Linked DNA regions of Oryzias latipes. The protein of the gene in region 1 interacts with the protein of each later gene in a pairwise test. Links are inferred from orthologs where the notes say so. Each region holds a gene or a part of one and is shown in the gene's direction. Other genes may lie near its edges.

The links.
Region 2: the proteins of retreg3 (region 1) and map1lc3a interact in binary tests that used the Homo sapiens proteins (3 or more experiments, as listed by UniProt). The link is inferred for Oryzias latipes from reciprocal best matches to the Homo sapiens genes RETREG3 and MAP1LC3A.

The regions. Positions count from the first base shown.
Region 1 is NC_019866.2:6,744,039-6,747,759, forward strand, and holds the start of retreg3 (reticulophagy regulator 3), read left to right. Parts: upstream 1-780; 5' UTR 781-862; exon of another isoform or gene 863-1,100; 5' UTR 1,101-1,131; coding exon 1,132-1,379; intron 1,380-2,423; coding exon 2,424-2,530; intron 2,531-2,749; coding exon 2,750-2,780; intron 2,781-2,855; coding exon 2,856-2,982; intron 2,983-3,131; coding exon 3,132-3,216; intron 3,217-3,626; coding exon 3,627-3,721. UniProt on the Homo sapiens protein: Endoplasmic reticulum (ER)-anchored autophagy regulator which exists in an inactive state under basal conditions but is activated following cellular stress.
Region 2 is NC_019863.2:5,864,698-5,867,476, forward strand, and holds the end of map1lc3a (microtubule-associated proteins 1A/1B light chain 3A), read left to right. Parts: intron 1-886; coding exon 887-1,049; 3' UTR 1,050-2,169; downstream 2,170-2,779. UniProt on the Homo sapiens protein: Ubiquitin-like modifier involved in formation of autophagosomal vacuoles (autophagosomes). While LC3s are involved in elongation of the phagophore membrane, the GABARAP/GATE-16 subfamily is essential for a later stage in autophagosome maturation.

The DNA.
Region 1 (3,721 bases):
GGATGTTCATGGGACAATGTTCACGCTCGGTGCTGCCCCCTAGTGTGTTGGAGTACAATACATTTTTTTTAAAGATGGTAATCTTCTCTTTCGAATTTGTTCTTTAAAAACAATTTATACCATTTTGGTTATAATCTTTTTGGGGCCATGCATTTTTTCCGGTTTGATTTTTCTCGTCAAATCGATAAGCACGTTATATTTTGTGCCACAAAGTGACCACAAGTTTAATTAATTCAAACAAAGTTTAGTAAACCCATATAGGCACTAAGTTTTTTAACAGTATTTTACAATATTTTTTCATTGACATGATATGTGTTTCTTGACCAAGCAAACCTTACTACTACCATCAATAGTAATAATAAATCGTCATAGGTTTTTGGTCCAACAAAACAGCATAGACAGATACACAAATTAGTTTCAGTAATCTTTTTTGACATGCATAAACATACATAAGTATAAAGAGGCTTATTTTACAAGGATTGAGGAAAAAAAATATGTCATATAAGAAGAGATTAAAAACAAACCCAATGAATCGTTTATTCCAGAGTTTTAATGAATTGTAGAAAGTCCCATATACATTTGTAGCAAGTCTGCTCTGCTTATCATAAAAGTAATTAAAAAAAGACAAGTATAAATGATTGTAATAAGAAAAAATATATATATATTTTTTTAAATAAATGAGCTTTACAGTTCATTTAAACATACGAAAATATGCTTGAGGTTTTGCCCCAGCCTGGGAAGTTAGTCTGCACTTTTGTACCTGAACGCACTGTGACGCAACTGCTTTCCTGAAATCTGATTGGATCAATCGACGCTGGGAATAGATACGCCATGTTGACATTTTCCGAAGCGACCACAAAATGTATTTTAGATATATATTTTATAATTAGTGTCAGGTTTCTCTGAAACTTTATTTTTAGACCTTGTATAATGTTGTTTTTAACGCTGTAAGAGAAATGTTGTAACATTAACATCAGTGCGGAGTTGTGGTCGCTCACTGTTAGCACTGATAGCCGTTAGCTTGTGTTCTTCTGTCACCGGCGGAGCCCCTCATCAAGCTGTTTACCGGTTTCCACTCAGCTTAATTCTCTCTTTTACAGACTGACAGTGTTCCACAGCAGACACAGTTTGATGGCGTACTCTGGAGCGATGGAAAGCGCCCCTATGGACGATCGTCCCGCGTCTCAGAGTTCAAGCAATTGCCTTCGAAGTCGACCATTCTCCAGCGAAAGAGACGCCCGAGTTCGGGTCGTGAAAGCAGAACTTCAGTCCAAACTGGGGCCCTACGAGCCCGTTCTGACCTACCTGCAGTCTCTCCTGGTGTGGGAGAGACCACTTCACAGCGCCCTGTTCTTTCTTGCTGTAAACACGGCGTTCTGGTGAGTTTGACAAATAAATACACTTTTTTAGAAATTTGTTTGTGATCATTTTCCTGTAAGATAAACTTTAAAACAGGTGAAAATGACAGCAAAGCAAGTAGATGACAGTAAAAGTGTTGCAATTGTCAGTAAAACATCAAACAGGTGGTTCAATAGCTCCAAAACTTGTTTGATTTGAGATATTAGTCCAGTATTTTTCACAAAGGATGTGTTTTGCAACAGACAGGCTTGAGAACTGTAACCTAGACTCTATTCTGTTGAAATATGGATGTTGTGAATTGCTAACTTAAAAATCAAAAGGTTAAATCCAAGATTTGAGCAGTAGCTTAACATTTTAAATGTCAAATATCAGGGTTAAAGTGTGCAGATCTGGCACAAGTTTGGGGTCTGTTAGTGTTCATTCTTGTTTAATCAGAAATCTCTGGAAAAATCTTGTTTATGAACACGTTTTTGACACATCATTTCTATTATTTTTGTTTTTTATCATGTACTCCATACTAAATATATCTTCGACCACGTTGAAAATGAATCTCTTAAATGATGAGTGTTTGGATTCTACATTGGAATAATAAAAGTAACCATGTTTCTTTAAAAACAAAAAGGGGTTTCCTTCCCAAAAAATATGCTCAAAAAACAACAAAAGGCTAATAGTTGTTGACCAGAAACGTCTTAATGGGATTAATCTGAGGATTGGCAGAATCCTGCAGCATTGTTGTTGCCAACAATTCTGTGAAAACCTGAGATCTGAAATTAGAGCAACAGAGACTCGTGTTTAGATCCCAGGCAGTCTTACTCAGCCAAAAACAAAGAGCAGTTTTTTCTGTTTTGTAGCTTAACAACTAGTTCTTTCAGTGGTTTTGTCGTTGATTCAAAACTTTATTTATGGGAAACCCCTCCTAACCAATGATCACTCCTTTTTTTTTTTTTTTACCATTAATTGAATTGTGCGCTTTTTTTTTCTTCTTTAAATTTGATTTAATTCTTTGCATAGTCTTAAGGAAACAGGCAGCTAAAGCGCTGTTATTTGCATGCTTCCGGTTCCAGGTTTTTTGCCTTTACATCGATGCGTCTGCTGTTCATCCTGGCCTCTTCGCTTGCTGTCCTTGTGTCTTTTGACACCTGGAGGAATAAAATCTGGCCAAGGATTAGAGGTGTGTTTTTCTCTTCAAATTGTGGTTCTTTATATTCAGAATGTCCTTTTTTTATGCTTGTTAAAATCTATGTTTACTAAATGCGCGAGTGGAACATCAATCGGCAAACGATAAAGAAAGAAAATGACCAAACTACAGTTTGGGGAACTTTGGAATCTTTCTAATCCACGTGTCTTCATACCTCTCAGTTGTAACGCTTTGTTTCTTTGCTCTTTACAGTCAGAAAACTGGATGAATCTGAAAATGAAAGGTGTGTTTCTGTTATTTCTTCTGCAGCATTCATTGTTCGCTAAAGTGCTTCAGTCCAACATGTCTGTTTCCGCAGCTGGGCCTTGGTGCAGCCCGGCATCCTAAGTGTACCAGAGCTTTGCCATCACCTGGCAGAGGCCTGGGTCAGCGGATCAGTTCTCATGTGCTTCATGGTTCAATTCAAACAACGAAACCCTGGCAATGTAAGGATTACCGCCCAGCACCATGTATTTAATCCTCTTATTCATGTGAACTGCTTCAGTTGATCCACCTGCATTCCCTCAATGAATATTACATGGGTGACGTGCTGTGCAGGCAGTGACTTCTATCTCTGTGTTCTTCTCTGGAGCAGTTCTGCGTTCTGACCTGCGGGTTGTTCACCTGTTTGGCCGTGGTTGGGTGCTACATTTCTGGATTGGTACTGTCCTACGCTGCATGTGAGTCCGAGCAGTTTTACCGGTCCTAACTACCGGTCACGCCCTGCTGCTACACTGTTGGCAGGAAACTCATTTTATGCCAAATGAAAAATATATGAGTGAAACCAGATCTGTGGGGCCCCGACACAAGGTTTGGCCTACGAAGTGATTAAAACAGGGAGGAGGAAGAGGAGGAGGAGGAGGAGGAGGAGAGGACAGGAATCTAAAGAGGTCAGGCGGACAGCAGGTTAATCTCCTAACCTGGAGCTGGTGTTAGACTGCAGAGGGCGGGCCAGTCCACAGCTGTCCGCCTGTCTGTATTCTCAAACCCAACATGTTTGTAGATCTTCATTGATTTTATAGAAAAAACAAAAGCAAAACACTTAAATATCACCATAAGTGTCATGACTTTCCTCCTCCCTCGTTGGCAGTGTTGGTCATCCTCCTGGCTCCTCTGGCAGCATACCATCGAGTCTTTCAGCATGCGTGCATGAAGTTGGAGCCAGTCCTGCAGCGGCTGGATTTC
Region 2 (2,779 bases), on another chromosome or scaffold:
TAAATTCAAAATTATTTTTTGAAAACAAATATTTCATATTTTTTTTGCAACTTAGAACGTTTTGTTTGCAATGTGGTGGCATAAATATCACTTCATATTAACCATGATGCACAGCATTTGCTCACCTGAATCTCCAGGTAACTGGAGATAAAACAGCAGACCAACCAATCTGTAGCCAAGTTTCCATGACACATATGCACAAAACTTTATTGAAATTCTAGAAGAAAAAAATTGGCAATTACACTGTTTCTATTAAACTCTGATTACGTGAAAAATTACAAACCAACTCACGATAAGTTATTCAAAAATGTGGTGATGAATGTGAACAATGCTTTGATTTACAGCAGATACGTTCAGATTTCTGCCACGGCACTAGCGCTCATCATCATCTCTATCAAAGGAGACGTTGGCGTCTTATTCAGACTTTGGAGCGGCGAGCTCCTTAAACGTAGGAGCGGCTACAAATGAAGCCATTTTTGGAAATGGTGGGTGGTGATTTTAGAGATGTGGATCCAAAAACTCCACATGACGCGCTCAACTTTTGATGAGCTGTGTGACGCTGTGGGACCTCTTGTGGCGCCCGCTGTGCAGTGTCCAAGGCCGCCACTACCCACCAAGAGGCGCATTGCCATCCGGTTGTGGGTCAAGTAATTCGGAAAAAAGTTTCCATTACAGTTTTGCAAAATATCTCAATTTCAATCTGCCTCAAAAACCGCCTCCTCCGAGCGCAAAATCTTTTTCCAAAAAATGTGAGTTTTTTATTAAATTGTCCTGTTTCCATTAGACAAATTTATCACAAATCCAATTTCTGCAATTTCCTAGTCAATAAAAACACAGCCATTGACTGAAAAGATGTTTTTGCCTTACGATCTCGCCCCCACCCCAGGCGTCGGCTCCAGCTGAACCCCACTCAGGCCGCCTTCTTGCTGGTCAACCAGCACAGCATGGTGTCCGTGTCCACCCCCATCTCTGAGATCTACGAGCAGGAGAGGGACGAGGACGGCTTCCTTTACATGGTCTACGCCTCCCAGGAGACCTTTGGATGCTAAGGAGGAAGGGAGGGGGTGGGGCAGTGGCAAATCCTCCCGTGTTGGGTGGACAGATTTTTGTTGGGGTGTGCAGTTCAAATGCCCCAGGCAAACACTCACCTCTTAGCTGTGTTTTATTACAGGCCTATTGAGAATCCGAAGTTATCAGAAAAACTCGCTCCAGACCTCAGAGGACAGGTGCGTCCGTCTGCTGTCCCACAGTCCCACTTCAGTTTCCTCCTGTTCTTTCCCACGGATTTGAGTTCTTATTTTGAAAAGCTGATGCAAACCTTGGCTGAAGGTGCAGGTTTTATTCTGAAATGGGGCACAGATTACATCAGAAAGCTAGAGGATGAGTAAAGTCACGTTGTAGTTTTGCTAGTTCTTTAGTTGTGGCACAGAAGGAGCTCCAACTCCATGTCATTTGTCAGGTTGGCCTTCACCTGTGAGCCCCCTCCAGACAGACTTACCAACCAGGTTAAAGAGCTGCACTAACCTGCTGATTACCATAATGCTCAGCTTTGCTCCCAGCAGCCCGTCAGGAGTTTTTGTTTGACCGCTTCCACAGCTGCTGGACGTCTCAGAAGGAAATGTCTCACAGCGCCTATGAGGATGTGCAGGAAAGCAGGCACCATGCCTGGAACGCATCCCGCTTGTTCCGTTAGCAGGATCCCATCCATACCGCCTGGACTTTTGCGGTCTGGCGTCTTCAGAGCGGCAGCAGAAGCAAAGGTCCAGCCTCCTCTGGGGCTCATGGCAGCAGAGTTGAGCTCAAGAAACGGGATGTAATGCCGAAACGAAGCTTCTTTTGCACACGAATTAAAACAAATATGAAGAGTTTGTGGAGATTATTCTTTATTGACTGTATTAACGTTTCCTTTTTTTTAAATTAAATCTTGTCTTTTTAAAACATTGAAAATGTCCTGCACTCCAATCCTCCCGTTTTCTCCATCAGTTTTGCCTTGTATTTATACTATTTCATGTAGAAGTCTTGATGTTCTCCCAAACCAAAAACAGCATGGAGTGAGGAGACGACGATCCTACAGTCCCGCTGAGCATCTGTCAGCTTTCCTCTTCAGACTGGTGTACACAGAGGCATCGCTGCCACCTAATTTAAAGCCAATAAATAATAAAAAAGGTTGCCTTTGAGTGTCTGTGCTTTTAGGTAATGACTTTCACATCGCTGACGGGGAGCAAGGCCATGTGGGGCAACATGGCGGCCCCTTGCAGAGACTTGCTGCAGGAAAAATATCCACTGAACTACAGTGTGCAGAGATGAGTGGATGAGGCTGGAGTCAATGGTGGTGCAGATTTTCACAATTCTCCCTAATGCTGTAGTCACAGATGCAACCGCCACCACCCGATGAGAAGGCATCAGCAAAAACTTGACGTTAAGCTGGCAGCGTGGTGGCACATTGGGGTATGCGACTGTAGTCTTAAGATATTGTAACACTTGTGCTATCCTAGGCACTTTACCATTGGGAGTTGGGTCATCTAGACCCACTAGACAGTGCTCTGAACCTTTTTCTTCAATGATTTGTGATCTTCACTGGTGTCCATGGATTACATGAAATCTTTCCACCTTTATCCACCTTTGTCATGGTAGGGAGAACACGTCAATGTAAGGGTGGGGTCATCTAAGATAGCACAAGGGTTAATAACATTGTTACTGCAGCGAGCTGAGTTGGACTGGGTGGCTGTTGGGTCGTGTTCTAAGTTCAGGAGTTCACTGAACGCATCAAGCGAGCCAT